Elephas maximus indicus: one gene and its partners. The protein of the gene in region 1 interacts with the protein of each later gene in a pairwise test. Links are inferred from orthologs where the notes say so. Each region holds a gene or a part of one and is shown on either strand. Other genes may lie near its edges. The genes, in order: TRIP6, SIK3, NEDD9 and FRS3.

Evidence for each region.
Region 2: the proteins of TRIP6 (region 1) and SIK3 interact in binary tests that used the Homo sapiens proteins (3 or more experiments, as listed by UniProt). The two-hybrid records come from large-scale screens. The link is inferred for Elephas maximus indicus from reciprocal best matches to the Homo sapiens genes TRIP6 and SIK3.
Region 3: the proteins of TRIP6 (region 1) and NEDD9 interact in binary tests that used the Homo sapiens proteins (3 or more experiments, as listed by UniProt). The link is inferred for Elephas maximus indicus from reciprocal best matches to the Homo sapiens genes TRIP6 and NEDD9.
Region 4: the proteins of TRIP6 (region 1) and FRS3 interact in binary tests that used the Homo sapiens proteins (3 or more experiments, as listed by UniProt). The two-hybrid records come from large-scale screens. The link is inferred for Elephas maximus indicus from reciprocal best matches to the Homo sapiens genes TRIP6 and FRS3.

Annotation. Positions count from the first base shown.
Region 1 is NC_064830.1:92,226,880-92,234,599, reverse strand, and holds the start of TRIP6 (thyroid receptor-interacting protein 6), read right to left. Parts: upstream 3,042-7,720; 5' UTR 2,792-3,041; coding exon 2,683-2,791; intron 2,469-2,682; coding exon 2,341-2,468; intron 2,239-2,340; coding exon 2,113-2,238; intron 1,819-2,112; coding exon 1,435-1,818; intron 1,123-1,434; coding exon 1,029-1,122; intron 917-1,028; coding exon 747-916; intron 333-746; coding exon 154-332; intron 1-153. Other genes in the region: SLC12A9 (solute carrier family 12 member 9), read right to left, coding at 3,701-4,584, 6,863-7,009, 7,223-7,397, 7,562-7,720. UniProt on the Homo sapiens protein: Relays signals from the cell surface to the nucleus to weaken adherens junction and promote actin cytoskeleton reorganization and cell invasiveness. Involved in lysophosphatidic acid-induced cell adhesion and migration.
Region 2 is NC_064835.1:9,375,634-9,383,679, reverse strand, and holds the start of SIK3 (serine/threonine-protein kinase SIK3), read left to right. Parts: upstream 1-4,907; 5' UTR 4,908-4,932; coding exon 4,933-5,205; intron 5,206-8,046. UniProt on the Homo sapiens protein: Positive regulator of mTOR signaling that functions by triggering the degradation of DEPTOR, an mTOR inhibitor. Involved in the dynamic regulation of mTOR signaling in chondrocyte differentiation during skeletogenesis.
Region 3 is NC_064819.1:54,871,837-54,879,653, forward strand, and holds the start of NEDD9 (enhancer of filamentation 1), read right to left. Parts: upstream 3,471-7,817; 5' UTR 3,294-3,470; coding exon of another isoform or gene 3,282-3,293; intron 1-3,281. UniProt on the Homo sapiens protein: Scaffolding protein which plays a central coordinating role for tyrosine-kinase-based signaling related to cell adhesion. As a focal adhesion protein, plays a role in embryonic fibroblast migration.
Region 4 is NC_064819.1:106,208,406-106,216,087, forward strand, and holds the start of FRS3 (fibroblast growth factor receptor substrate 3), read right to left. Parts: upstream 3,133-7,682; 5' UTR 3,050-3,132; intron 3,026-3,049; exon of another isoform or gene 2,975-3,025; intron 2,966-2,974; exon of another isoform or gene 2,826-2,965; 5' UTR 1,435-2,825; coding exon 1,285-1,434; intron 41-1,284; exon of another isoform or gene 18-40; coding exon of another isoform or gene 1-17. Other genes in the region: PRICKLE4 (prickle-like protein 4), read left to right, coding at 6,130-6,261, 6,750-6,857, 7,500-7,682. UniProt on the Homo sapiens protein: Adapter protein that links FGF and NGF receptors to downstream signaling pathways. Involved in the activation of MAP kinases. Down-regulates ERK2 signaling by interfering with the phosphorylation and nuclear translocation of ERK2.

The DNA of each region.
Region 1 (7,720 bases):
GAGGAAACAGGAGAGACCAGAGGTATGGTCTTGGATACTGGGGAAGAGAGGTATACCAAAGAGAAGGAGGCAGGTCCAGGGTTGGAAACAGGAGTAATCGATACTGGGGCATGAAACAGAGGTGAGGGAGATGGAAAGGGTTATCATGCTGACCTGTGGAAGTCCTCAATGCAGTGGATCTGGCTGGTGGCATCCACCGTGAAGGGGATGCCATCGAGGCCACGGTGACACACCACACAGGTGAAACAGCCAGGGTGGTAGGCCTTCCCCATAGCCCGAAGGATCCGGTCCAGGATGGGCTGGGAGCACATGGAGCACTTCTCCAGGGTGGCCTGTTGGGAAGGGGAGCAGGAAGGTCAGGGGACCCCATGGTAGCCCTTCAGGCATCCTGCCAGCCTACCCATCTATTTACCTAGCCTCCTGCATGTGATTCAGTGAAAGGTGGACCTGAGAGGATGAGTTCAAGTCCCAGCACTACAACTTACTGGACAAGTCATTTAACCCCTCTAAGCTACAGTCTCCAGTAAAAATGTCATCAACGATAATACCTGCCTCACAGGGCTAATGTGGGGATTTAATTTATTCCCTTAACTCTAAAATGCTTCACACTTGTAAGGAACCATTGTCTTCCCCCTCCAACAGGTTCTAGTTCTCCAACTTTGAGTCCTTTTCCTTTTTGGGGCTGGCCATCTGGCTCCCACCTATCTCCAGCTGCTGACTCCAGCCACCCAGCCCGAACCACTTACCACATAGCAGCTCTCACAGTACGCCCTCCTCTCCACAGCATAGAAATGCTGGCCCTGAAGCTGGGCCCGGCACGTAGAACAGACAAAGCAGCCAACATGGAAGACTCGGTCAAGGGCGACCACTCCGGCCCCATCCCCCACCACATCTTCTCCGCAACCCCCACACCGGCCTAGGGATAGTGGGGAAAAGGTCAATCTACACAGACCCAGAAGCCAGACCCCCACATCCTCTGCCTCTCCAGTATCACCTCCCCATGCTCCCACACTGCAGAGGCAGCTCACCAAAGTACTCCCCGCTGGGTGGGTGATTCATGTCATGCACCAGCTTCTTGGTCAGCCTCTCAAGCTCCTCCTCTGGAGGCTGGCTCAGGGGGACCTGGGAGGTGGGAATCAGGGGTTTGGTCTTACCTCTGGACTTCTGGCACTATAAAAATCCCTGTGTGTGACATGACATGCGATTCAACCCAGAAAGCCCATTTGAGAGCAGCTCAGCCCAGGACCCAGGGGAGAGCCTCGAGGAGACACCAGTGCTCTACCCCCTCTCTGGCCTCCCCCACACCCTTTGGGAATCCAGAGCTCTGACATCCCCGACCTGTGACTCTGCTCTAAAACCAGGACATTAAACACCATCCTCACCCCACCCACTCAATATCCAGTTGTCTATAAAATCCCAGTGCCGTGGACCTACCTGGGACCCGTACCTGCCTCCTCTTCCTCCTCCTGCAGGGCCAGGGACCCTGGCAGCCTCCTCTTTACCCCCTGGCCCTGGCTCCCGGTGGCTCCTATAGCCAGCCCCCCAGACTTCACCTCGGCTGGGAAGAGGAAAGTGGGGCCCCAGGAGGGGCCTAGAAGCCTGAGAGGCCCCCCGCCTGGGTGGGCCACAGCCTCTCACTGGTTGTGCCACCTTCACCTGCACAGGGAAGGCAGGGCCAGCAGGGGTGCTGGCAGTAGCATAGGAGGCCGGAGTGGGACCTCCATAGGGGGATGCTGGGAGCTGCAGGGATGGAACACCCCCTCCGTTCGGCTTCAGGGAGCCCGTGCGGTAGGCAGGGGGCTGAAGGGGCTCATAAGCCTGGGGAGAAAGAGACCACAAAGAGTAAGGAAGGCCCATTCCAGGTCACACATCTGTGGAAACCCCACGTGTGGCCCCAAGATGGGCAACTTTTGAGGAGACACTGCCCTCAGGTGGCTGACTACCTAGTAAGCTCTCTGGCCCAGGCTTCTTCATGCTGGGCGTACATCTCTCACACAGGAGTAGGACGGAGGTGGGTGGAATTCAGACTGAGAATCAATCCAGGGAAGGGAGCAGGCTGGAGGTGTGGGAAGCAGGGGACAGTAAGCAGGGTTAGGGAAGGGGAGGAGTCACCTGTCGGTCTGGTCGCCTTGGCACGTGACCACGACCCCCATCCAGCTCAGCCAGCATGCTGGTCAGCGAATCTATCTCAGCATCCAGACTTCCTGGGCCCAAGCTCCCTCTATCTAGGGGGAGCCCCTGGAGATGGAGCAAAAGCAGGGAGATGCAAATCACAACGTCTCCTCTGCCTCCCCGGGTCCCATTCACACTCGACTCATGCCCCCCACTTCCAGTATTCACCTGCGGGCGCTGGGGTGCTCCATGGGACCCCCCCCAGGCTGGCCCCCGATCCTCTGGTCCCCCTCCGGCCTGGTAACACTGCTCAGATGGGAGGGGGCAAAAATTGACTCTGGGGTGGGGCTGGAGTGCTGGGTTGAGGGGAAGAGAGACCAAAGGTAGGGATGGAGAAGACGAGGGGCGCCAAGAGGGCCCCGCCTTTCCCTCCTCCTCCACCTGGGGTCTGAGAATGGGGGCAGGCAGGACCTCCCAGCCCGCTTGGGGGAGGGGGCAAGAGTGGAGGGAAGAGGCGAGCGCTGGGCAACCGGCGGCCCCTACGGCCGCACCGCACCGGGGCTGCCTTACCTGCTCCGTGGGCCACCGGTGGCCCTGGGGGCCCTCGAGGGAACACTCTCCCCTGAGGAGCTCTGGAGGACTCCGGCTGCTTCGGGGGGAGCCAGGTGGGCTCCGACATGGCCTGGAGCGGGGGACCCCTCAGAGCCCCGGATCTCTGGCCTTGATCCTCTCTTCCTGCACCTCGTTTGGAACTCCAGGAAAGAAACTTTTTCTTCCTTTTTTTTTTCTCCCTTCCTTCCCAATTTTGGGGATGACCACGCCCCTGATGATGTCACCACATTCCTGGGGGAGGGTCACGTGGCCCCCTAGGCCCAAAACCACCAACCCTCCCAGAGTTGGCCCCTCCTGCGGGGCGGGGAGTGGTGTCCTGGATCCCGCGTTGGCTGCCTCCAGGTCGCCCGAATCCCCCAGCCCCACACCCCTTGCTGCCACTGGCTCCGCGCCCCCAAGTCCTGCACGTGGCAACCTCGCTGTCGGGACAGCTCCGGCACCCCTGTTTTCCACATGCCGATAAATGCTTCTCCCTTTCCCAAGGGCACATGGCTTTCTTGTCGACCCACCTCCCATTCCCCTGCTGCCGGGCAGTGCTCAACCAGCATGTAGTTTGTTGATCTTTTATTTACGTTCAGCAGAGTTAGAAAAATAAAACAGAACGAACACATCACAACCTCAGGGGTCAGTGAGCCTGTCAGCGATGAGAGGGAGACTGAGGTAGCCTAGAGTCGCAAGAGGAGAGCCAGCCCCTCCCAACAAGGCACCAGTGAAGGGAAGGGGGGCTGCTGACTGCCCCCCCCACAGTGGAGACTGGGATGCAGAGCTGCCCTACGTTAGTACATGGGGTCCCACTCACAATGGGAAAGGAGTTGGCCCGCCCAGAATCCCTTGACATCTCCACTGGGCTCCAGCCCCAAGTGCAGGGCAAGTGGAAAGAGGTGCTTCCTCTCCTCGACATCCACTAATCAAGAGGGGTTGCTGAGCCTGGGTGGGCCCTTTCTACCCACCATCAGGAATGGGGCTCCATTAGGCATCAGAGATCAGTGCATGTGACAGGAGTGACACCATGAATGAGTAGCGTGGGGCCCAGGTCACGGCTCAGGATCTCCAGCAACGCCAGGTATCGGAGGTATCGGGCAGGATCAGCGGGTGGCCGAGGCAGGTACAGGAAGGTCAGGGCAGTGGCAGGTCCCTCCTCCTCATCCCCACCCTCCGGCCCACCAGGCCCTCCACTTCTGCTGCGCCCCTGCTGGGCCCGAATCAGGGCGTTGGCGCTGCATGCCAGCGCCTCTGCCTCAGCATCTCCCCACCCGCTGTTCTCAAAGTACCCTTCCTCTTCCAGCTCTCTGATGCCAGCCCCCTCGCCCCATACCACTTCCTGCACTTCAGCCCGGATCCTCAGCTGGCTCAGCAGTGCCCGGAGCCGCTCCTCAGCCGCCCCAGGGGCCTCCTGAGGCCCCAAGCACAGGAAAATCCGGAGACGAGCACTGTGCCAAGCAGGCACCATGCCCAAAATGGTTGCCATCTGCAGCAGGAAGAGGCCACAGACGTCCACATAGCCGGGCCCACCCCGAGGCCGCAGCAAGTTGAGGGGCCACACGTCCATGTGGTGTGGCTGAGAAGTGCCCCCAGACCCCCGGCTCAGCCGCTCAGGGGGCAGGGCTCCACAGGCCCGAGCCAGAACCACGTTCTTGTTCATCTTGAGGGCATCCGCTACGGTGGCCACATAGTCCTGGGGACTGAGAGCCCGGGGGCTCCCAGGAGCCCGAGGTGGAGAGAACAAGGTGCTCAGGGCTGGAGGCCCCCCCTCCCTAGTGCCATCAGTAGGCTCCGAGAAAGCTGGGTCTGTCAGGAAATGGTCCTGAGGTGGGGCATCATCGTAGAAACCCAGGACCAATGTGTTGGGCTTCATGCCACCTGGGAGCAGAGGCAGGAAAGAACAGACAGGAATCAGACTCACAGATTGAGCTTCTACCACACAAGGATGCGCCCACGGACACACTGACAATTAGTGTGTCAGCCATTAAGTATTACATTTACACTGTGTGTGGGTTCTCCTGGCATTATGTATATTTGCATAATGACTTTTTCGTTTTCCTAAACACTTTCACATGCATTTATCCACTTATCTTCATCACTAACCTCCTCCTTTAAATAGTCAAAGCTCGCCTCACTTGGAGAATACGCACTTCAGGGCCATGGGAAGTAGGAACCTGTTTATTCCGCATTTTTAAGCAGCACACCTTTTTCATGATGGGAGAGTCTGACACCCTGATTAGTCAAGTTCATGGCCTCAATCCCCAGGGAAAGCACCTCAGATCCTGCTATGACATGAGACGAGCTAGGCTTCACAGCCTGTTCCTACTCCTGCAAAGCCTCGGAATGTTACGTTCACAGCACCATTCCTGAAGGAACTTACAAGGCCCCAGGTCCTGTTGAAAGCACTGGCTTTGAACAGGTTAGGGGATTTTTGCTGTTTTTTTTTTTTTTTCCTGAACCTCTGCTGAAAATTTGCATTTCTAACAAGTTCCCAGGCCATGCAAATAATTCCACCCCAGGTATACTGAATCAGAATCTATGGTTTAACAAGATCCCCAGGTGACTCTTACATATAATAAATCTTGAGAACCACTGCTCTGCTAGTGGTTCTCCGAACTGGTCCCTAACCAGCAGCATTAGAACAGCCTGGGAATAGGTTAGAAATGCAAATTCTCAGCAGGGGGCAGAACCCCCCACCCAACAAAACTGACCCATTGGAACCCTGGTTTTAACTCATTTAATCCTTGAAACAACGTTGTGAGGTAGGTAACACTTATTCTTCCATTTTACACATAAGGAACCTGAAGCACAGAGCAGGAAAGTAACATTGCCGAAGTCTCCCTGCTCTCGTAGGTACCGGGGCCAGCACATGAACGCGGCAGCCTAGCACCAAGCCAGTGTGCATGCGAACCACAACGTCCCAAGTCCCTGCCAACAGCTCCCTGTTTTGTACTACTTCCACAGTCAATGTGGAATGTGATAATCCCTCCCTTTCACAGGGCTGCATTTTCAGAAGGCTCTGAAACCACTTCCAAAACTCCTCCTCATGAAACAAACGGGCTGCAAAAAACCTACCAGTGAATCAAATTCTACGCGCCAGGAGAATGCACTACCTAGAGGAAATCCTTTCCCTTTTACTTGAATCAAGATACATTTCCTGAAAGTAGTGACCTCTTGGAGCCCTGGTGGCGCGGTGGTTTAAACATCTGGCTGCTAACCAAAAGCTCGGCAGTTCAAATCCACCAGCCGCTCCTTGGAAACCCTATGGGCACTTCTACTTTGTCGTATAGGGTCGCCATGAGTCGTAATCAACTTGACAGCAATGAGTTTGGTTTTTTTTTTTTTTTTTTTTTGGTTTAATAGCCTCTTTGCAGGTTTCCTACAAGGGTGGGGCAGAGGAAAGACCAGACTCTCAGATGCCCCTGGGCTATCTAACGATGCACCTCCCCCCACCCTACTGCAGATGAAACTAGACATCCCCTCCTGAGCATTTTCTGATGTGCACTGAGCAAAGCAATGTCCAGCACTGTCGGACATCAGATCCTAAATGGAAAAGGTGGCCACAGATATTGAGCACAAATTTGGAGGAATGTGCAGCCCAAGGCTAGAGGCCTCAGCATTAAGACACACTCACAAAGCTTGGGAACCTTCCCCATGCCCTTGGCATCCTCTGTGCTCTGTGGTCTCCGGCCCACGTTGCAATGCTCCCCACTTCTCCAGCCCATTCAAGGCCTGGCTGAGGTACCATCTCTTCACAAAAACTTTACGGGCCATATCAGTGCGTAGCAGCATTTGTTTCTCTGAACTCTGGTGCTTAGAAACCATCTGCCCTAGATTTGATAGGGCAGCCCCAGACCCAAATAATTACTCTTCTCTTGCCCCTAGAAGTACAACAGACTCATCAAAGCCTGGGCCCCGATTCTTGGTTCAGGAAAAAAAAAGTATCACCCCATCTCTAACGCTCAGCATCTTCTACTAGGCCTTATCATATACCACCATCAGCGTGGTTGTTATCTTTGAGCACTGCATCTTATCTGCACTAGATTCTGAGTTCCTTTTAGAGTTTGCAATTTGTGATTTACTCTCTGGGAGAGGGGAGTGGAGATTTAACGGGTCCACAAAGGGAGCTGGAGGAAACAGAGAGGAAGCAGCTCACCAAGGCCTGAGATACGCAGCAGATGCTGAGCCCCCTGGCGCACGGAGGGAGAGAGGGTGAGGTCCACAAAGGCCTTCACTTGGGCCCGGTCCACCAGGCTCAGCCATGCCCCATACTGCGGCTGCACAGGGTCCGAGGGCAGGGAGTCTGTGGAGAAGGTAGGCAAAGGAAGGCAGCCCATGTGGCCAAACCCCTTTACTTATTCCCAGACTCCAAATCCCAAATGAGCAGAAGAAAAAGGTCCAGGCAGGCTGTGGCAGGGTGGGTAGGTCATCTGGAAAGAAGTATGTCTGGGACACGAAGAATCCCTGAGACCAAGGAGGGAGGGAGAATGGGAATGTGAGCAGGAGGGCAACTCACCAAGGTCGCCCAGGGTGACGTGGCCCAGCACGTACAGACCCCCCTTCTTGAGCTGGTTGGCCAACCGCAGCAGAGGCAGGGAGCCCCGGGGGTTCCCCACCAAGAGCAGCAGTTGCGGCCGCCAGAACTTCACGTGGTCCTTCCGGACGTCCAACCGGAGCAGGTACTTGCGTACCTGGGGACATGGATGACATGTAGGAAGGAAGGGCCAGAAAGGGCAACCACTCAGCACCTCTCGGACAGGAATACAAACTCCAGCCGAGGGAAGAGGAGGCCCCCTTGACAGGTGGGCTTTCCTAGAAGGCCTCCCCTCACCACCCTCCTCCAAGCTCCCCCAACCTGGTGGAAAAGCAAGGCCTGGCTGACATAGCCCCAGCTGCTGGGGCCTCCTCGAGCTGTGAGCAGGGCAGAAAGCAGGCCCATGAGAAGCAGGGAGCCGCCGGCAGCCCCAGGACTGATGAGAAACATCATGAGCAGGCAGGAGGCCACCCCCAGCAA
Region 2 (8,046 bases), on another chromosome or scaffold:
GATGAATATTTTTTTTCTGTATTAAATGCATTTTCCCATTGATTTTCCTTTTAAAACCAAGGGTGTACCTATCTGAGGAAGATATAAATTTCAAACAATCATAAAGTCACATGTAAGAATACAAAGAAACCTTTAACAGTCATACTTAAGGATGTTTTGGATGATTTAAAGGGTATTTTTATGCTAACCTAAAAATGCTTAAACAATATTCTAAAGCATACACAAAGTAGTAAGGGTGATTTTTTTTCTTTTTAAAATTGTGGTAAATATGAAGTAAATATATATGTCACAGAACATTTGCCATTTCAGCAATCTTCACGTTCATGTACAGTTCAGTGACATTATTTTCATCATTATTGTTCAGCCATCACCCTTATCTGCTCCCATATTATACCATCACCCAGTAACGGTGATTTTTATGTTTTGCGTTACATAACAGAAATGACTGAATGGTTTCAGGGAAAAGAAAAATGTGGCCAAACTGAACAGGAAATTCTTGACCGAAAGCTTATTTAGCTTCTCTTAAGCCTTTTTAAGCCACCTCCCCAAGACATTTTATAGCAAGAGACTATGTAGTTAGTTACCTTTGGCTGCTCAGACCTGCTAGGTATTCAGGGGAAGCATTTGGACGTGACTAGGTTGGTCTGGGATAGAAGGAGGAAGGAAGGCAAAAGCCACATAGCTGAGGTGGCATTGAGGAAGGCAGCTCTAACAAAGAGAAGGCGCACATTCAGCTCACCAGGAAAAGCAGGGCACTTGGAGTGTTCAGACAATGTGTCTCCAACAGTGCCCTGGTTTCTGCGAGATGGCAGAATCTGTAACTGGCCAATACTTTCCTTCTTTGGGAATATGTGGCACATAAACATTCTACCTTGCTGCCTTTCTGTATATAGAATTTCTGAAAAATACTTGCTATTATACTGGTATAATATTGGTATAATGCCAGCTTCTTTTCAGAGCAGTAATGAGTTGTCTTTTTATTTACTTATTTTTTGAAATTTATTATTATTTTTTTTAGATGAAGGTTTACAGAGCAATTAGTTTCTCATTAAACAATATCCATATTGTTTTGTGACACTGGTTGCCAACCCCACAACATGTCAACACTCACGCTTTCTTGGCCTTGGGTTTCCCAGTTTCAGCTTTCTTGTCCTTTCCTGCCTTCTGGTCCTTGCCCCTGGACTGGTGTGCCCATTTAGCCTTGTTTTGTTTTATGAGCCTTTCTAATCTTTGGCTGAAGGGTGAACCTCAGGAGTGACTTCTGTACTGAGTTAAATGGTGTTGGGGGCCATGAGTTGGGTCATTGTTAAGTGAGGGGTTGGACTATCTGCAAAATCTTGATGACTCCAAGAGTCTATGGAGCAATGTTGTGAGGCTGCAGTTTTCTGCTGGGTTACTGGTCAACTGCCATGCAGACAGGCTAAGCAAGCGTTAAAACGCATTGAAGAGTTAATGTATTAACTCCCTATATCACTCTCAGGTAGGACCTTAGCTCCTCAGAGATTTTATATCACTTCTAGAAGTTTCTAAGGGCCTATTTGGAGCCCCGGGGGCGCAGTGGTTAAGAGCTACGGTAAGCTATGGGTGCTAACCAAAAAGTCAGTTCAAATCCACCAGCCACTCCTTGGAAACCCTATAGGGCAGTTCTACCCTGTTTTATAGGGCCGCAATGAGTTGGAATTGACTCAACAGCAACAGGTTTGCTTTTTGGGTTATCATCAGGAATGCCTAGGTTTGCTCTTTTCAAAGTCTGGAAATAAGACACAATGACATTACAAAGGAAAAGGTCTCATTTTCATCTTTGAGTCTAGCTTTTGTTTTTTCAGAAGAGGGTACATTGGTTATGGTGGCTGACCGAGCTGTGCAGTGGCTAGCTCTGTGCCTTCACCCTGGGCTACAGAGGCCCTGAGAATTCAGCCCTTCAGCCACTCCTCTAAGTCTGCAGCAAGGTAGGAACACATCTTCCAGCCTCTTTTCATAAGGACACCAGTACTCCTATACAATAAACAGTGAGCCTCTTTTTGGTGGTATTTACAACCAAGGCCATCACAGGTACTTAATTCACTTTTGTAGTCAGTTGTTCCTCATCAGTACACTTCAGCTGCTTGCTTCCGTCCGGCTCTTAAGAGCTCTCAATGTCCTCTTGTTCCGTGGGTCTAAGCTGAGCTCAGTTACCCTGGGCTTCTGGAGAAACCCTTTTCCTACTAGCTCCTAGCTTGACAGGGATTGTAATTAATACACTGGGAAAGATCTCAGGCTCCACTTCCTGGGTTTGAATAGCTCTATGACCTTGGCCTATTCTCTCAATCCCTCTGTGCCTCATTTTCCTTAAAAGGGGATAATATAATCTCATTTCACAGGGTTGCTGTGAGTTTTTGGTGAGTTAATTTACGTATACTGTTTAGCACAGTGCCTGGAAAAATGTTGTTATTATTGATTGTGAGTTACTCCAGGGCAGCTGTTGTGTCTTATTCGTTTTTGGATTCCCTTTCTACATTTCCTCCCCAAACCTAACTCAATCCTTGGTACTCAATACATTCTAATTGAGCGCATACATACAAACAATTTTCTTTTTTTTCCCTGATGGTTTTTTTGAAGGAGTCCTGGTAGCGCAGTGGCTAAAGCACTTGGCTGCTAACTGAAAGGTTGGAGGCTGGAACCTACCAGCCACTCTACGGAAGAAAGATGTGGCAGTCTTTGGAAACCCTATGGGGCAGTTCTACTCTGTCCTATAGGGTCACTATGAGTCGAAATCGACTGGACAGCAATGGGTTTGGTCGGTTTGGGTTTGGTCTTCTTTGATCAATCCCCTCCCCACTTCTCTATATTCTTTTCATAAAAGAGGACTCTTCAGCAAGTCTTCACCCAAATCTCAATCCTACATATCATCTATTAGCCTCAATCCATATATGCAGGGAGCACCAATGGCAGAGCACAACATAACACATTCTGGTCATTATTAAGAGACAACAGTGATCTGCCTCTTCTCTTTGGAAAGTAGACCAATGCTCCATTTCCCAGTCCTCTTTGTTTTTGACACCCTCCAAAGAGTGGCAAAAGTTGTGATGCTTGATGTTCAAACTGTCTCTGTGAGTGGAGAGGAGGCTGGACAGTCACTAGTGAGAATGGTTTCCATGCTGCTTCTGCAGCCTCCAGAGTGAAAGAGTCTTTCCTTGCCTTTCCAGTCAGGTGGGGTTTCTTTCTCTGGAGGTTCCTCCCATGAAATGGTAAAACTGGGGTCCAGCACCATGGTTGGTCTCCGCTAGAGGCAGATGAGTGGGGCCATGAAGTGGTTAGAGGAGTTGGCTATGTCACATCATTGATCTAAGATTGAACGACCTCAGCTGAGGAAAGAGAGGGCTTAACCAGTGCAAGAAGCTGAGAACCAATTCATCCTTGTCCTGCTTTGCTAGTAAAGGAGCCAATTAGTGTTAATTGTGTTGGCAATTTGGAACAGCTAGCAGAGAATTGGCTCAAGACGATCATGGGATGACTCCTCTGTCCCATCCTGGCCTCAGCCATTACTCAGTCAGATGGAGAACCATAGGGCTAGAAAACGTCCCTTGGTCAAAGAGAGTAAACATGCACTCTCCTTCTGGTCCATCTACAGTGCCCTGGTGGTCAGTTTTTGACATTGTACATATGGTGACCTGGCAACACAGCTCTGCCACTGAGGAACTCAGTCTATTAGGAGACAGATGTGAATGGATCAAGGCTAGAGTGAGGGAATACACTTTGTTAACTTTGGAGTGTTCACGATTTCCTTTCTCCCCCAACCTGCCAGACAATCTTCTTATTGCCAGCTCAATTTCCTACCCCCATCTAAAGCAATTACATTAATCTGCTTAATAAAGGGAGGGGGAAGCCTGGGAGCTAGTGAAAGCCTCTGAAAGCTGTGGGATGCCTAACAGGGGAGGAGAGAAAAAGGAATATGAGATTTATAGTCAGGATTATGAATTTGATCACCTTTAATGTCCTTGGAAAGTCACTAGTAAGGATGGAATTTTAATCTTATTTTTTGCCTAATGGGCTGTTATTTAAATATGACGTGGCTCACTGGACAACTTGCACCAGTGTTTCATCAGGGTAATACAAGCAACAGAAACAGTATACAGGCACTTTGGTAGACATTTCGCTATATAATTGTTGAGGGACGGAGGAGGTAGGAAGGAAAATGACGTACATTCTTTGGCCCTCGCCTACCAAATGACTGGAATGCGTGTTTGGGTTGGTTTCTTAGTGCTTGAACACGCAAGTCCTAATTTCCCCATTCCCGTTTATTTGGTGACAGCTAGAATGATTACATAGGGTGAGCTGGGTTTTGTAAGAGGAAGGAATTTTACTGAAGAATTCCCCTGCTTTGCTACCAACTTGGTTGGTTACAGTTACTTAAATACCATAGCTATTCCTGCCTTTGTGGCCTCAAGGGCTAAAGTGGGACAAGGCTGGTATTTTTGGTGATGAGGAAATACTTTTGTTTTAAGGGAGGCTGGGTGATTGCTGAACTGGGACAGAGGTCACAGCAGGGGTCAGATTAGCGATTCCAGGGGCGACTGGCTGGGGGGTGGGCTTTGGGTCAGGCATAACGCAGCCCCGGACTCGGGAAGCGCTGCAGAGGTCTCGGACTTGCTGGCACACTGCGGGTTCCCACCCGCCTCATCCCCAGAGGGGGGCACCCGGGAGCCAGGGCCTGAGGAACTAGGGCCCACGCGGGAAGGTCGAGCTCGCCGGTGAGGTCACGGTTGCCATGGTTCTTGGCAGTGACGCGCGTCGGCACGTGACGAGTGGTTGCCATGGCGCCGGGCGCCCGGCGGCGCGGGCGCTCCGCCTCCCGGAGTGACGTCCGTCGGGCCCCCCCTTGCCTTTCCCGCCCCCCCGCCCCCTCCCCCCAGCCGGCTCCCCGCGGCCCCGGAGGTTTCACTGCACAACAAGATGGCGGCGGCGGCGGCGAGCGGGGCTGGCGGGGCTGCCGGGGCCGGAGCGGGGGGAGCCGGGCCGGCGGGCCGCCTGCTGCCTCCGCCTGCCCCGGGGGCCCCGGCCGCTCCCGCTGCTGTGCCCCCGGCGGCTGGCGCGCCGCGCCCCGCAGCCCCGGCCTCTCGCGGGCCGATGCCCGTGCGCATCGGTTACTACGAGATCGACCGCACCATCGGCAAGGGCAACTTCGCGGTGGTCAAGCGGGCCACGCACCTCGTCACCAAGGCCAAGGTAGTGGCGCGACGGGACCGGGGACGTCGGAGGGTGGTGCGGGCAGAGGGATCCCCGGCGCGGAGGCTGAGGGGGTCGCGTCGGGCTTGGGGCAGCGGGTGGGCTTGGGGCATCGGAGCGCGTCGGGACCGGGGCACGGGTAGGGGGCTGTCGGCGGCGAGTGGGGACAGGGGTGGCAGACGGTGGGCAGAACCGGCGGCCCGAGACAGGGCGGCTGTCCGGCGGAGGGGCAAAGGGGGCCCTGGCCCGGGACCTGGGAACTGAGGAACCGGGAGGGGAGGGGGCTCTCAGGGCTGCGTGGACGCTAGCAGAAGGCGGGGTTGGGAAGAAGGGCTTTGGAACTTTCAGGGAGTCAGGAGACAGTAAGCTAGAAGACTCTGGAACCAGTAATTAGGAAATCAGAACAGAAGGAGGGCTTGGGTATGTGAAATGTGGACCAGGAAGACGGGGGAAAGAGAAGGGTAAACTGGCAGACCTGGGGTTACGAGGGAAGCAAGGACGGCTGGGACATGTGCAGGGGGAGCACGGTGGGTGCAGGGTACTGGGAGATATGAGGAACAAGGTACCTCATGATAGGGACACAAATCAGCATTTGGTCATCTAAGACTGATAGGGGATGGGAATGGGAGTTTGAAGGGAGACCATATTATTGGTAGAGGCAATGAGGAAAATGGCAAGTAGGGGGAAAAATTACTTTGCTTCTCTTCAGGAAGAGGACTGGATCCTGGCAATACCTGGGCTTTCTGGAATAGAGGCCCAGGGGGGGGCCTTAGGTCTATGGTAGCACTGGGTAATCAGGAGTTAAATAATTTGGGGTGGGCTAGATTGCTGGTTATTTTTAGTTGTTGGAAGGTCTCAATTCTGGGCTTCATACACCCAAGGTGGGCCTTCGGTGGTGAGGGGAAAGCATTGAAACCGAGGAGGCATGTGAGGAACCCACAGGCCAGAGTGTCAGGAGGATAACGCTAGTTGGACCCGTTGGTTCCCAAGGGTTTTGAGGAGCTGTAGCAGTGAAATTGCTCAAGGTCAGTCAGGAAGCCTTGTGTATACACACATATACGTTTATTTCTTTTTTGAGGAAATATGGATAGTATTTTTGGACTTGTAGGCACCATAAAGCCCATTTTTACTCTAAATTTCTTTCTTTGGTCCATGTCTCACTTGACTGAATACATTTAACGTAGTCATTCATTATATTTAAAACTGCAGTTTGCGTTTTTCCCTCTGCCTCACTAATGAAGAACCTTCATAGCTGCTGCTGCTTCCTATCAAAGCCACATCAATTCCCCTCACCTCTTCAGCCTAGCCTCTGGTTATTATCACCTACCTTGTTTTCGCTTTTTTGACAACAGTTAAATCGCTTGTTTTCAGAAGCCAGTGACTTATCTAAGTCTTCTCTCCTTCTCACTTGCAACCTGAAGTTCCTTTTTCTCCCCCTTTCTGTCAAAGACTACAAAGGGCCCCTCTTACCAGGGTGGCAGGGTGGGTGGCTGTGGAGAATTGATTGGTCAGTTTCACTTCCTCTGGAGGGCCCCCTTCAGCCTTTTTGTCAGTTTTTATCAGAGGGCCTGAAGCCTGCAGGTCAGAACTGAAAGAGATACCAAAGTCCAAGGTTCTTGACATTACCCTCAAACCCTGAAGGGGGTAGACTCTGGTGCACACCCGCCCAGTGCCCCCACCCCCACCCCCTTGAGTTTCCAGTCCTGTTTACTGTTAACCAGGCTAAGCTTAACATTCACAAACAAATCTAGTTGTCCATGCCTTGTTTCTTGTTTTGGTGTCCCCCCCCCCCAGCCGCCCCCCTTCTAAATAATCACGTTGCTCCTGTGATTATTTTGCTCCGACCTCTGGGGGATGGACTCCATGAACTTAATTGGTTGCTTGGTTTATGGTATCTGTAATTTAAAGAATTTTGTGTCTTCCAGCCCTTGGATACACCAAAATATTGATAGAAGCTTGTGACAGACATGGTTGAATATTTTTGTAAATGTAATTGCTAACAGTTGATTCTTGGCTTTCTATATGAAAGCGACATTTCTATCTTCAGTAGTCAGCAAAACCAGTGGCTAATTATGGCTCGTCTGCCCGCTTTCTAATTTTCCAGTTTTTTTTCCCCCCTCATAGCGTTTCTCTGAGGCTTTGGTATCCTGTAGGACTGCAGGATTTTCAACGTTGGCTTGTTTATAAACGGGTGTCACTGTTTATGTTGGTTTTTATCTTTGATCATTTGTGGTGTGCAGTTAGTTACGCAATTCCTACGTATGGAAATGTTCAGCCTTGAATGAGACTGAAACGACTTGGACAATGAGTTGCATGTGCTATGGGGCCACACCAGCGTTCATTTCTGTTTCTGTAGCTGTGTGCAATTTCCTAGTTACAGTTAACAAGTGCCCTATCTTTCCCGGCTTAAATTACTCTGACGACATGAGTGAGGCTTAATTCACAAGGAGTTGTCATGTGCTCTGGGTGAACGATGAGCATGTTTTAGCCTGCTCCATGCTTATTTGAATCCACTTGGGAAGGGGTTCTCAAATGCTGCCAGCTTAGATGTGCCTAACAGCTGTTGACATAGAGTGTGATAACCTATTAAGGCCATGATTTGGTTATATAATGGTGGGGAAGGTGCATAGGTGCTAGAAGTTGCCGAAGCTGCTGTTTCTGTCGCTCAGTCAGGTGGGTAGGTTTTTCTACCCATGCACTGCAGCATTTATTTTACTTCTGCAGTCAGGTTACTTGGAACCAAAGAAAGCTATTTTTTTTTTCGGTCTGTTTGCATAATTCCATTTCTTTGGTTTTGTCTGTGTTTTAGAGGGATTTTTTTTTTCTTCTTCTTTTTTCCCT
Region 3 (7,817 bases), on another chromosome or scaffold:
CATAAGGGTTCAGAAATGTGGCCAAGTCTCAAAGGGCTGCTCAGCCATTGGAGACCAGCCAGACTCAGCACCTACAAGGTCTCCCTCCTCCCTCTCCAGGACAAAGGAGGTGGAGCCTTGGGCCTCTGCTCAAACACATCTGTACACCTGCCCTGCAATCACCTTCCTGGAAAAGAGCAGCAGCCACCCACCTACCTCCATACCCTCAGGAGCCACAGCCTTCCTTGGCAAGTGTTCTAAGGCCATCGGCCCCCCCTCCCCCACTCAGAACAGGCTCCATATATTCAGAGAAGCTTGTAGAAAATTCTCAAATCGATTAAGCCCCCCATACATAACTTTTTTTTTTTTTTTTACATAACTATCACATAACCACAGACTGAACACCTTCTAAGAGAGATGGGATATTAAGTACATACGACAATGACCACAGTATTTACATGAACAAATAAAAAACCCGCAATGAAATAAAAATAGACTAGCTGTGTGCTTACAAAAAAGGTTTACCCGAAGTAACAGCTTACATTCCACAGTTCTCAAGATTATTGTAAATACATAGCTGGCTGGCCTGAAGTTGTATACATTAAGTGCAAAATGAGTAGAGATTTGGTTGTTCTTTTTTTTTTAGTTATGATCCCTGAAGCAGCCAAACCAGATAATCCAGTTTAAAAAAAAAAAAAAACTAATGGATCTGAATTATAAATCTCTCAATGAACATTTTAAATTCTGACTGTGCTAAGTTTATAGTGTACAGAGCAACATGGTGTTTAAGAGGTAATTCCTGACTCCAGGAATTTACAATCTAATAATTACCTGGTTTTACTACCAATGTGGCTCAAATTAAACAAATAAGTGCCAAAGGTACACTTCACTTTGCTTTGTAGATTTACTGTCTAAAAACATAAGAATCTATCCTACAGGAATGCTTGGGATGAAATAGTCTTAAACTTCCTGGAAGAAGTAAACCTCAGTCACACAGAACATTTTAGGGGGCGGTCACAGATAGCTCTTTCTCTTAATAGTGGGTCAGATCGAGAGTTCTGGAGCCAGGTCACCTGAGTTCGAATCCTACCAGTTTTTAGCTGTGTGACACTGGGTACATCACTCAGTGTCTCTGTGCCACAATTTTCACATTTGAAAATGAGTATGATAATAATGCCCACCTCATAGAGCCATTGGGACAATAACTGTATTGTCAAAGTAAACCTCTATTAATGTTATTCATCACTCCTCTCCCTATCGACAGAGGGGTTGGGTTTTTTTTTTTTCTCTCTCTCTTCCTGTGTGCCATCTCCTCCACTTAAAATGACAAAATTCTCTTCTGAAACAAAGTTTTCCATTACCATCTAGAGAGCAAACAGGCTTTATGAGAAAGGAAAAGTAGATTCCTCCAACTAATGGTTCATTTTAGAGTCAGCACAAGGTGAGAAGGCTGGACTCTCTCCCTTTCTTGCTGGCAAAAGAGTCCACGAGCTAATGAATGCTAAAAATTGTGTATTTGCACTGTTAATATTATTTTTTTAAACACTGGTAAAACTTGGTAAAGAGAGCAGGTTTTCTCCATGAAAGCCAGTAGCAGTTTTACATTACAAGCTGCCATGATGTTTTCTTTCCATAAGAATAAAGCTAACCAGGATGAGGTCACTGAATAAAAGTGACTTTAGGCTTCGTGCCTGCTGCTGTCACTTTCTAGACTGCAGCCTTTGAGGTTACTTTCAGCCATTCATACTTCCCAATAATAAATGTATGAACATAATTTCTCTGTTTTCTGCTTGCCAGTTTATATGAAATGAAGGCAGTCAGCAAGAGGGAGAGAAGGAGCAAAAATATCGCCCCAGGCCAAGCAATAACTGGTCTATAGGGTCACTATGAGTCGGAATTGACTCTATGGCACTGGGTTTAGTTTTTTTTTTTTCTGAGTAAGGAACTATGGAATAGGGGGTGAACCACGTCCAGAAGCAGAACTTTCTTGCCAGGTAGAAGGGTTTGTTTCTGGTTGCATTGTAAAGTCAAATCTTGAGGACTTCAGGATTACCCATCTTCTGATCTTCCCTTTGGGAAAGCTGACAACTGGTATCTGTTTCTTCACAGAGTTGTAACCTTTCCAAAGAGAACCACAACTCATGCACTACAATAAAGGCTTTGGACGTTGAGATTTACAGCTTTTGAACAAAAGATTTATCACTGAGTTAACCAGTGGCTATTAGCCAGAACCAAGTATTTACAAGCTGACATTAAGAAAGGATGGGCCCTTAGCTAGGTAATTCAGAAGGAAAGCCAAGTACCTGTAGCTCCCAGCTAGCACAACCTCAGAGGCCAGACAGGTAATGCCAATTGTCAATCCAAAAGCATAGATATCATGCCAAAATCTATTTTCATAACAGCACTTTTGTTTAAAAGTGATAGTACTTATGTCTATCCTAGAAATATTCATCAACCCAAGGAAAAATCACACCCAACTCATTGCTATCTACATCGGTACAGAGTAATTCTATCCCTGGAAACCACTTGTCTCAGTTAGATGGGGCTACTTAAAACAAAATGGATATGCTGAGCAAGTTGTAATTCTATTGCCAAGAATAAACACAAAAATAACAGTGCAAAACCCATGGGAAAATAATGCTACCGAAGTATTATCACATTCTATGAGCTCCAGTCACAGTAAAAGTGCCCATACCCGCCAGTCCATTCAAATGCCAATAAAAGAGTTTTCAAGAAGTGGCTAATATTCATTTGTTCCGGCATTCAACTTCACCTAAGAATGTCAAAATTCTCCATCATCAGCTACATAACCGTACCTGGGGCTTTTAATTTCAGCCACTCCAAGGATATATGGCAAACTGCTTCCCAGACGAAGCGCAATACGCTAAAGTAAAGCCTGAAAAGCTGTACCGACCCAGCAGTGGGATTCCTCCCTCATTCCTGCTCCCCAGGACAGGGGGAGCCCGGCCCGGGAAAGCAGGCGAGATCTGAGCCAATACCTCCTGCGCTTCCAGCTAGAGACCCTCTGAACACACCGCGGTAGATGGGTTCTCAGTGTTACTAACTCCTCACCAGGTCCTTTCCCTGGCAACTTTCAGAGAAGATGGGTCCTGGGTCTCAGAGATTAGGTGTCTGCCTGCTTGCATGTCAACCAAAGTGACTTAGACCCATCTCAACTCTCCCGGGTACAGAAAGGCTCCCTTCGGGGACGTGCCGCAGCGGAAGACAGGCAGGCAGACAGACACAGACAGACACCCACACTCGCAGGCACAGCCTAAGGCTTAATAGGAAATATCTCTTACCTTATATTTCATTTCGGCAGCGGTGAATGGAACCGTTTTCCTAAACTAGTACGACAGCATTAAGGACTGGAGTGTCTGTCCCTCCATTGAGTGTTAAATGAAAAGGAGAACGGTCGCTTGATGGTTTGCCCGCCCAAGCCCGCCGAGCCCTGCGCACAGCTAAGTTTCCAAAGCGTCTGAGCTCACTGTTTTGACCAGAGCAGGCGGATCACGGGCTCATTTGCATGCTGTCCGGCTATTGGCTCGCGCAGCAAGGTAATACTGTGCCCGCCCATGGCTTAGCTTCTGAAAACTCCTGACAAAGAACTTGTAATGTGGTAATTCCTTTTCACGTTTTGAAAAAGATTGGAAAATAAAACAGAAAGGGGAGAACCTTCCCAAACCTAACTATCCCTCCACCCCATCAAAAAAAGAAAAGAGAAAGACTGAAAGCAAAGCCAAGAAAAGGGAATAAATGCTTTTTAAGATTAACCTAAATTTTAAAGAAACTGCTTCACAAAACAGTCTGCCAGTCCCGCTTCCTGTGCCTTGGCAACTCTTTCATAAACCACTTCATTTCAAAGCCAGTCACCTCAAAATCTCTACATGAAACGAACTCTGGGAACAAAAGCTGTTCTGTCTCCAGGCCCCTTTTCACTAACCACCCCTGCTGATCTCTCTCTCTCTCTCTCTTTTTTTTCTTGGTGGCTGTTTGCTTTTTTTGTTCTTTTCACTGTTCAAAGTACTTCCAATGTCAATCTGTAACGAGTGGGAATACAATCTTCCCTCAGTGAAAAGCAGCTCACCAGCTTCCCTGGCTTGTTCTCACGAAGGCCTCCCCGAGTCCAGCGTCACACACGTTTGGTGACCTTCACTGGCTTGGCTTAGGATAAAGGTTCCATGTGACCTCTCCAATGGGGTTGGCCGGTGGACGCACTATACATCATCGGTGCCCACTGCAAGCTGCTTTCTTTGATGGCTTGGTTTTTCTAGCTCCAGCTTTGAACACGGCTGTTTTTCCTGCTGACCTCTCCGCTGAAGATGACCCATTAACCCACCAACACTTATTATCCGGGGAACAAAAAATGCCCACTGTTTGATGAGCCTGGTTAAAAAGACCAAAGCACAGAACCTTCGGTTCAGCTTCATGATTTCTGTAGTGAGTCTCCAGACTCACACAGGAGAGGACAGAAACGGTCACCTTCAGCAATTCTTCCGAAGGACAGAGTGCTGAGGGGAAAATTCCTTCTCACTGGCCTCGGGACTGAGACTTGGTGAATCCAGACAATAGCGCTCCTGGAAGGGGATGGACTTCAACCAGCTATGTGACTTGGATGGAAAATCAGCCCTTATTTTTTTCCTGATCAAGTTGTATCTGAATAAGTTTTTTTTTCCCCCCTTCAAATCCCCAATGGATTAAAACTCTACTTTTATGATTTAAACAAAAAGAAAGAAAGAAAAGAGGAGAGCAGCTGGCCTAGGAAAATGGTTTCCTGATAGACGGTTCCCATTTAGTTAATAGATGAATGTGGCAGAGATTCCTGGGACACAGCCCTTGGGCAGTCCTAATGGGGTGGACACCCGCCTTCGGCCCTCTCTCTGCGACTGTTCTCTGCTCCACCCAGCCTTGTTTTCCCTCATTTGGCCTCAGTGATTCTGCAAGGGCTCTCTGAGCAGAGATTAAACACCAGCCTATTGTGCTGCAAGGGTCTTCCTAGCAGTACTGCAGGCTTACAGGATATTCCTTCATTTGCAGGAAATTGTTTTTGGTGTCTGGCTGGATAAACAAGAACAATTAGTCGAAGGCCTTTCCATCTGAAAGATGAGTCTTGTGAGCCTCCAAGAAATCTAGATAACATTCCTTTGGTTTAGTAAGCAGTAGAGCTGAATCCTTCCCCTGTTGTGCTTGCTGAGGACTATTGAGTATGTGAACACTATCCCATCCCATGTTAAGATTTTACAGTAGTCCCTCAAGACATAGGCTAGGGCTTTTGGTAATTTCATTCTCTAGCTTTAAAGCTTAATTCCCGCCAATGGTCAGCCTGCTTCCCTGCTTCTGTCCTGTGTAGTAAGAACCACCAGCAGCTCATTTCAAGAAGGCTGGGTCAGTGTATAGCTAGCTACAGAAAGAAAAGAACCAGGGCATTGGAGTCAGATAAACCTGTGCTGGACTCTGAGCAAATTTACTAATTTCTTTATTTTGAAGTCCCTAAAAACCCAGCCCAACCCAACCCAACCCAACCCAACCCAACCCAACCCAACCCATTGCTATCAAGTCAATTCCAACTCATAGTGACCCTATAGGACAGAGTAGAACTGCCCCATAGGGTTTCCACAGATGATGGATTTAAACTGCCGACATTTTGGATAGCAGCCAAGCTCTTAACCACCGCACCACCAGGGCTCTTTTGGAGTCCCTGGGTGTTGCAAATGGTTAACTTGCTTAGCTGCTAACTTAAAGGTTGGAGATTTGAGCCACCCATAGCTGCCTCAGAAGATAGGCCTGGTGATCTGCTTTCAAAAAGCCACAGCCATTGAAAATCCTGTGAGGAGCTGTTCTACTTTGAAACACATGGGGTAGCCATGAATTGAAATTGACTTGGCGCCAACTGGTTTGGTTTTGGTCTCAATGCGACTTAAGTAATCCTGATATTACTTTATTAGTGTCCTTTAACCTCTTCCTTCAAATCCCTTGGGGGAAACACAAATTTCTCTCAATGAATAGAGAAACAGGGTCCCCACCACCCCTTCCTTAGCTGAGATATTGGATGTAAAGTTGCTGTTTAAACTGTGATATGTAAATACTCTCTATTGATTTATGTAGCAGCACTAGGGCTCCCATGGGCACCCTCGTACAGCGGGCCAGGCCAGGGCACTGGGGCTCAGGCCCTGCCCCCCGTGCTCGCCAGCACTTTCTTCCATGGGCTTCTTGACCTCTCAGCCTTGCTGCCTGTCTGCTTGTCTGCCAAGGGTCTATCTTCCCAGATGCTCATACAGGCCGGAGCAAGGGAAATGACACTAGATGCCCTCCAAACAACCCTTCCGCTGCCACTGGGCATTGGCACGGACATAGAAGAAATCCAAGTGGATGCTAGAGAGAGAGATACTTCTGTCCGCAAGTTGGGAGGAAGCCATGTGGCTGCTTTCTCACTATGAAGAGAAAAGTCACACAGCCAGAGCATGGCAGGGCAGAAAGCGACCTTGGACATCATCGAGTACAACCCCTCACAAAGAAGACAAAACTGCTGCTCAGAGAGCGTGAGCACCTTGCACAGGGTCATACCAGGTTGAATAACAATTCCTGCTGTAAAGACCCCACTGTCAACATCAGTTTGTCATATGTGGTGGTTTGTGTGTTGCCATGATGTTGGAAGCTATGCTAGTGGTATTTCAAATTCTAGCAGTCACCCATGGTAGACAGGTTACAGTGGAACTTCCAAACTAAAACTAGGAAGAAAGGCCTAGCAATCCACTTTGGAAAATTAGCCAATGAAAACCTGATGGATCACAGACTATTGTCCAAGACTTTGTCTCACTTCGGATGCGTCGTTAGGAGGGACATCATGTTTGGTAAAGTAGAGGGAGGGCCAGTGAAGGTGAGGGAGACCCTCAATGAGATGGATTGACACAATGGCTTTAACAGTGAATTCAAACATACCAACAATCGTGAAGATGGTGCAGGACCAGGCAACTTTTTGTTCTGTCATACATGGGGTCACCATGAGCCACAGCCAATTCCACAGCAATTCACAGCAATAGCTGTAGTTCAGTCCTTTATGGTCTCTTCTCTGACCTCTACCAATAATCTGGTTTTAGTTTCTCTGCCTGAAATCTCTCCCTGCTTTAGAGTCCACATTGTTGTTGTTAGATGCCATCAGATCAGTTCAGACTCATAGCAACCCTATAAACATCAGTACCTATTTAATTTCTAAAGTACAGAGCCAATCACATGCTACCATGTTTAGAACTTCTAGTGACACTTCAATGCCTTATAAAACAAAACCCAGACACGTTGGCATGGTGTATAATCTGAGCCTACCCTCCCCTTCTGTACTGTCCCCCACACCCTACACTCTTGCCACACCTGGGGACTCACGAACTCGCAGACAGGTGTGCACCTTCCTACTTTTGCATACACCCGTCCCTCTTCACGAATATTGTCCCCTCTCTTTTCTGCCATCTAGCCTCCTTTCCACACTAACTCTTTTCTGTATCTTAGCCAAGAACCCCACCCTGCCCACCAATGCCTCCCTCCTTTTACTCCGCCCCATTGTCCTTTGGGCATGGGGGGTCCCTACACTGTGGAGACGGCACAAGTTTCTGCCGCCCATTCACACTAAGCCAAGTGTCGCTGTACTGAGTGCAGCCCTCTACCCACTTCCTGCTGCCTCTGCCTTCCAGCTGAGACTCTTTGAGGTGGGTTTTAAGTGCTAAAATTTAGTGTCTTAGACCCCTTACAGTTCTCAGAAAACTGTGACCGTCAAAAATGAGATCCACTGTGAAAGAATGAATGTAAAACCATGCCACTGGTAGGCAACTAAAGACCTAGCTAGATCT
Region 4 (7,682 bases), on another chromosome or scaffold:
CTGCAGCAGCTCCCCATGGTGTCAGAGCAGACAGCCCACCCTAGGGAAAAACATAAGGTACAGGCAGCTCGTCAAGGGCCACTACAAAATGCTCTGCTCTGGGGAGTGCCAACAGAACCACTTCTTGTGATCATCTGCTCTGTCTAAGGGGCTGTCAGGACACAGTTCTTCCTCCAAGGAATTCACTTTCTCAATCTAGGGCCAGACACACATCGGATAAACATCAATCCAGGTTAGAATGCATTAAGGATTAATGCTGAGAGAAGAACAGAGAGAACTTCTCAGAAGTCACATCTGATCTGGATCTTGAGAAGTATGTAGGATTTTGACCCATGGTGGCCTGTGTGTTGCTATGATGCTAAACAGGTTTCAGCGGTGCTTCCAGGCTAAGATAGACTAGGAAGAAAGGCCTAGTGATCTACTTCTGAAAATCAGCCAATGAAAACCCTACGAATCACAACAGTCTGATCTGCACACGATCATGAGGATGGTGCAGGACCAAGGAGAGTTGAATTCTGTCGTGCGGGGGTCACTCTGAGTTGGGGGCCAACTTGATGGTAGCTAACAATGATAATAATGACAAGGAACCTAGGCAGCAGGAACAGCACAGATAAAAGGATCCAGGAGAAGTGATTTGCATCAGGAGTTGGGCGCAAGCCTGGGGCCCTCACCCAGATTCAGCAAAGATGCTGTAACCTGGGAGTCCCAGCCACTCGACTCAGTATCTTTCTTTTTCTCCTTTTTTAACCCCACCCATCCCACATCATCTAAGTTCACTCTTTTCCTCCCTCATCACCTTCCCAACATCCCCCTCAAATTTATCTTTGTGAGGTTCTCTTCAAATGAGGTGTTATATTACGGTCACAAAGATATAGTCAGAAAATTGAACATTTAAAACAGAGCATGGTTTTTATAACCTTGATTTGGTATGTCTTATTAAAAAGAAAAATATTGGGTTTATTCCTCTTTGTCTGAATGAGAGACCAGAGACCTTACTATTTGGTTTTTCCCTCTAGGATTACGGTACTCAGGTTATAAGACAACAGTGAGGTCTGTGCCAAGGATGAAGAGGTCCCACCCAGGCTTGAGTGATCTAATGGAACAAGCAAACATATGGACTGGCATCGACCAGAAATTAAGAGGTTGCAACTTGATGCAGGAAGTGAGTCTGTGAGTTAGATATCCTTCTGAATAAAATTCCCTTGAATGAGCCAGTGACCTGTACCCTCCATTCCTCCCAACTTGGGAAATTCCAAAAAATCAGCTTCTATACACAGCACTTACCTCACCCAGGCCATCGGGGAGCTGACCATGGGAGGGGCATGGGGAAAGTCTCCACTTTATTCTCCCCGTCCTTGATGGGGTATCATGGCAAGCAGTCAGCCAAGAAGTGACCTGGAGCCCTCTGGGACACACCTGGGGCTCACCTAGCATAGGAGACAGAGATAGTAGGTTAGTAGAAACCTCCCATCCCCACCCTTGTAAACAAAACTAACCTGTTGTATATGGTCGCTATGAGTGGGAATCGACTCTACAGCAAAGGGTTTGGGTTTTTTTTTTGGTTGTCAGTCCTGGAATCTCTGTTCCAGGTCCTGATGGAACAGGAACACCAATGAAGAAAGGGCAATGGGATCACAGATTCCAAGCCCCAGAGGCCCTGAGATGGAGAGATCCCCCTAGCATCAGTGAGTCTGAAGTCTGGGACAGCCCAAAACCTTTCAAATCACCTCTAGACCCCCTCTGAATCCTCTTAAAACCAACACCAAAAACACCACTCGGCCTTTGCAGAGAACTTTAAGTCTACGAAGAGCGTTCTCAAAATGACACTGAAATGTGTTGAAGAAAGCACTGGTTTAAAGTTCAGGAAACCGATATTCTAGTCTGTTTTGTTGCTATGAAGTATCTGGGAAACACTGTCAAGTCAATCCCCCACTCACACCCCCCTCCCCACCTCAAGGGTTTAGTTTTTACATATGAAACATCTGTAAACTGTGGGGCTGCTAGCTGAAGTAACTTCTAAAGGTAGATGTGTAAGACAAAAATCAATAAAATCGACATCTTTCTCTTAAGGACAGGCTCCTTCGATCTTACGTTTGCGAGCTTGACATTCTGCTCCTCAAGCTCTGAAGGGCCTAAAATTTTAATATAATGATAACAATAAACCCCAAAATTTCAGGGCATGTGAGCCGCAGGCAGACAAGTCGACACGCCAGGCGCCTGGAGACCCTGGAAATCCTACTCGCCTGCTCTGGCCAACAATATCAACTCCCAGGGCCCCTGCTAGCTGGCATCCTTGGACAACTTCCCAGGTAAAAGGACCCCCGAAATTCTTAGTCTGGCTTATTCTCTGGAAGAAGCAGGCTGAGTAAAGTGTGTAAAAATATTGGGGTTTAAATCACCAACAGGGATTATGGGATGAACCCAAGACTAACTATAGGGTGCCTTTTCTATTCCCCATCTCTGAGGTATCAGGACATATCCTCAGGCCAATGAGGGGGATTACACTGGGCGGGATGGGGGCAAGGGGGCTGTAGTCTGGGATAGGTGCGGGTCAAGGCGGGAGTTAAAGGGGGTCAGGGGGACTCAGGATGTATGACAGGGTTTCAGGGAATGTGGGCAAGATTTGGGTCTTGGGCATGGTGCAAGAACGGGGGATATGAGGGACCAGAGAAATTTCCGGGTGGTGGAACCGCTTGGGTGCATCCAGGAGAGAATGGTGGGCCTGCAGGCGTATCAGAGGAATTTGCAGGAGTAAGGGGATTCCGGGGGTCCCCAGAGGTGCGATGGTGTGCCGCTGTACCGGAGGAGGGGGCCGCGGTGACTTCCTGGGCAGTGAGAGGAAGATTTAGATTGCACGGTAATCAAGGGAATTTCTACACGTCGAGAAGGAATGGTGGAGGAGGGGGCGCGCGTTGTCCCTGGATCCCCGCCCCCAGCCCGGGGCTCCACCGCCCGCCCGCCCGGGGCTTCCTACGGTACGAGCGGAGACTGCGGCGCGGCGCGGTCTCGGGGGAGCCGCCTCGTCCCCGCCCCGCCGCGCCCGACTCACATCGCCCCGCGGCCCGGGCGGCGCCGGGCCCCGCTCCCGGGTCCCGTTGCAGCAGCCGCCGCCCGCCCGGAGCTAAGGCCGCCCCGCCCCGCCCCGCCCCGCCCCTCAGCCGCGGGGTCGGAGGTCACCCGGCAGCACCAACGAGACGCTGCGGGCGGGCGGACCCGAGCTGGGGCGACGGGCGCGCAGCCTAGAAGGTCCCTTTGGAGGACTTTGCAGTCGAGAGCAGGGAGCATACGCAGACGCCAGAGGGCGCTCCCGACCAGCCGCTGAAGGAGCCAGACGGCAGCGGGGCGGAGCCTAGGGAAGAGGGCGGGCGGGACGTTCTCCCGGGAGCGGGAAAGCAAGGGAGTTGGTGGGGCGGAGAGGGCGGGGGGAGAAGCACAAAGGAGAGCGGAGGGGGCTGGAGGGGCAGATGGAGAAAGGACAGGGAAGAGGGACGCAGGAAAGGGGCTGAGAAGAGAATGGGCGGAGGGCTCACTGGAGACAGGAGAGAGGAAACGGGGGGGCAGGGTCTCAGGAAGGGGGCGGGGACAGGAGACCTGAGGGAGGGCTTGGGGGAACCTGGGGAGAGTCTAGAGAAGGGGCCGCGGATGTGGGTTCAGCCCGTGGCCGAGAACCCGGTACGAACACGGCTGTGGGGGGTGTGCTCCGCGCCCGCCGAGGCGCGGTCCCGACACTAGGCCGTGGCTGGGGTCCGTGCAGCCTGCACTCTTTCCATCCCGAGACCCCACAAATACTTTCCCTTCTGTTTGCAAGTGCAGGCCCCTCCCTGAGCTGCTCCTCTCTTCCAGCCCGGAGGGGTGGGCGGGCCGGGGCCGCGCTATCGGGGCGGGCAGAGGCGGGCGTTGGAGCCCTGGGGTGGGGACTGGTTGAGGGGCCAGACGGCGGGGTCTGTCCAGAACCGCCCGGACACCGGCGCGCGGCGAAGGTGAGGCCCCAGCGTAGCCCCTGCCCTCTCTTCTAAACTTTCGGCTGCTAGACTGGGAGCCCCAGCGGACACAGGAGCCATACTGCGTCTCTGTCCCTGGGGTGGGGCCCGCGAAGTCCAAAAAAAACTTAGGGGAATCTGTCGAAAAGACAAGGGAGGATACTTTTGGGACCAGACGCCTCCCCTTTCCCCCTCCCACTGTGCGGGGGAAACCTTCCCATCCTCCTCCAGTACCCAGAGCCTCCTGATGGATTGGGGAGATCGAGCTCCTGAGCCCTGGCGCACCTGTGCGAGGACGGAGGAGGGGGCTCAGCTCTGTCTCTTATGGAGTAAAGGGGAATTGTGGAAGGAATATGGTAGATTAGTAAGGTGGATTCAAGTGCTAGGCCATGGTGGTGTTAGGTTGCCCTGTGTGAGGGGGAGCAAACAGAAGGGTGAGGGGTAGAGGGCCGATTTCTGAGCATTGCTTCTGTAACAGTTCCATGCAAACTAGAGCCAATGGGGAAGATAGGGTCCACATCACTTCCTGGGGCCCCAGATACTCCTCTGTCCTTTGCCGACCCCCTACTCGCCACCAACCCCCCCGCCCCGCCCCTCTTGCCGCGTGCTACTAGGGGAAGTGGCTACTCCTATCGCTGAGTTTGAACAGCCCATCCCAGTATCCTTCCACAGGAAACCTGCCAGAGGGACGGAACAGGCAGGAAGCAGGTGGGTGTGGAGCCAGGAAGGGTGGCACAGGACATCTGAAAGGGAGCTAAGGGGGACTCAGGGCTGCAAAGCAATGTAACTGTCATGGTCCAAATCGTGGAGCCTTGCTGGCATAGTGGTTAAGCGTTAGGCTGCTAACCAAAAAGTTGGAAGTTTGAATCCACCAGCTGCTCCTTGGAAACCCTTTGGGGCAGTTCTACTCTGTCTTGTAGGGTCTCTATGATTCGGAATCAACTCGATGGCAAAGGATTTGGTTTGGTTTTTGGTTGGTCCAAAGTCCGGCCCAGACCCAAAGCCAGGGATTTGGCGATGACTCTCCTTGTGCCTGCCGTTAGGATCCATCCCAGCTCTCAGAGGCAACCTCCTCCGAAAGCTCTCCTTTGTTTTCTTATGTGGCTCTTGGGCAAGTTAATTAACCTCAGTTTGTTTTTTTTAAGCTGTAAATGGGAATACAGAAAGTACCTCATATGATTGTTGTGAAGTCATAATATATAAAATGCTAGAATAGTCCCTGGTACAGAGTAAACATTACAGAAAAATTTGCTCTGGTTATTTTATACCAGGATACTATGTACATCTGCCGAGAGCTCCTGCCGAGAGCTCCCCATTCTGTCTGGTTGCATGTTTCCCCCTGATAGATGGTGAGCTCCTTGAGATCAGGGCCTGCCTGTCTCTTCTCTACCTCAGTGGTCGACTCCTCCACTCCCTGCAGATACTGTGGGTGTATCAGGGCTTGCCCAGAGAGCTGAAGAGATGTGGTTAGAATTACCCAATGAAATTATTATAGATCGAAGATAGAAGCACAAGATTTTCCTCTGCCCTTGAATTTATAGACTAGACAAGGAGCTTAGAGAGACACACTGAAAAGAGGGGAACATTAGGTGCTAAATCTTGGGGGAACCAATTGAACTTACTACTGAAGGTCAGGAAAAGGGGGAGGGTCTGGGCCAGAAAGGCTGAGGAGGGCTTCCTGGTAAGGTGGTCCTTTAAGGCCTATGTAGGGAGCAGTGAGGAAGTAGGCTCATTGGGGTAGTGAATGCAAGATGAGGAATGGTGAGAGTTAAAGCTGGGGAGGGAGGGACCAGCCAGCTCGAAAACTCACCAGAAAGGCAATATGCCCTCTCCTTCAACTGTGGGCGTCTTTCTCCTCCATCTGAATCTTGGGAGACCCCAAAGATTGAGCTTCAGAAACTCTGGAGTAGAAAGGCCTGGTCTCAACACCTGGCTCTTCCACTGACAAGCTGCATGACCTTGTGTGTATGTTCACTGAACCTCGGTTTGGCCATCTGTAAAATAGGGACAGTATCACCTAACTCACCTGGTTGTTGGGAGGACTGAATGAGATAATAATGCCTGTAAAGCACTGAGCACTGCCTGGCACATTGCAATGGCCCCATAAAATGGAGGTGTTCTTACTGTCATTGCACAGACCCTACCAACAATGTCAATACTGAACTCAGGCTGCTCCCACAAAGGGGAGAGCCCCACCCTCAGGGAGCCAGACCCACCAGCCAACTCAGACAGTGACTCAGGCCACCTGCCAGAGGAGGACCCAGGAGATACTTCTGCTCAGGTTGTAAAAGCCTCACTCTTTCCTCTGAGACCAACAGTTTCTCTATACTTCACACCTCCTCCCCTCTCCATCACCTGGGAGGTGGTTTATCTTTGTGCCCAACCTCTTGTGGCGCTTTTCTCTTTTTAGGAATCCTGCAGCCCCATCAAGATACAAGTTTTGATTTTAGACTCATTCACATAAATACTCCCTCCTAGAGGGTCTGTGTTTTAAGCAGACCCAGAGGGGAAGAAGAGGGTGGTTTCAGGCATAGGAACAGAAGCTGTTGTGGAGTGTGGGACCTTCCCAACCTCTCTCAAATCAGAGCACAAATGCAGAAGTGGGTCAGCTATCCTTGCTCTCAGCTATCTTGAAGGAGGATCCTCCAAACTTAGGGAGCGAGGGCTTGGAAGCTGTTCTAGATTGGACAGGTGGCAATGAGGTAGGGAGGAAAGAAGGGTAAGAAAGGAAAAGCCTAGCTCCACTCACCTTCTGCCATGTCTCCTCAGGGTCCTGCAGTTCTGAGCTTGGGGCCCCCTCACCTGGACACCAGCCCGGCCCCCAGCGGGCCTGGGCTTCGCACCCTCCTGCAACAGCTCCCTCCACAGGACAGCGATGTGGGTCTCCCTCTCCCCGTCTTCCCTCTCTCTCTTAATGTCTCAACTTACTGTGGAAAGAACCTTAGTCCAGAAGTTAGGAAACATGGATCCAAGGCCCCACTCTGCCACTAATTGGAGGGAGTCACCCCTTCCCTAGCCTGGATTTCCACATTTACATGATGGGTGAAACAGCATCTGTTCTGCCCACCACCATGCTTAGTTGAAGACCAAATGAGGAAATGGACATGAACGACTTTTGAAACCAATAATGGAATATACAAATGTAGAGACTATGGCTAAGTATTTATTGAACCCCTAAATGTACCTAGCCTAAAGGCTTACAGTTCATTTGGAAGGTGGGGGTGGGAGTATATGAAATAATTAGAGAAGTCAGAACAGGAAGTGATATTGAGCCATACAGTTCATTAGGAGCAAAGACCTAAATATAAGGTGACAGGGCTACCTAAGTGCTATGGGGCTGTCAGGATCTGAGGGATGACTATTCCTGGGAGAAGTGAGACTTAAGGTGGACTTACATGAGCTTCTTGCCCTCTTTCGCTCTCCTCCTCAATGCCCTCCTATGCTGTTATCTCCTGCACCTCCCTGAGGTATTCATCCTTCCTGTAGCCCAGCAGCTGAGCCTCCTTTCTCCAATCACAGTCCTGCCAGTGGGGCTCTCCCAGTCATAGTAGAGGCCTGTTTCTGCAGGAGCGCTACTGCCTGGCCCTTGAGGAGGAGGAGCTGGCAGAGCTGAGGCTCTTCTGTGCCCAGCGGAGGCGGGAGGCCCTGGGACAGGGGGTGGCCCGCCTGCTGCCTCCCAAGCTGGAAGGACACACCTGTGAG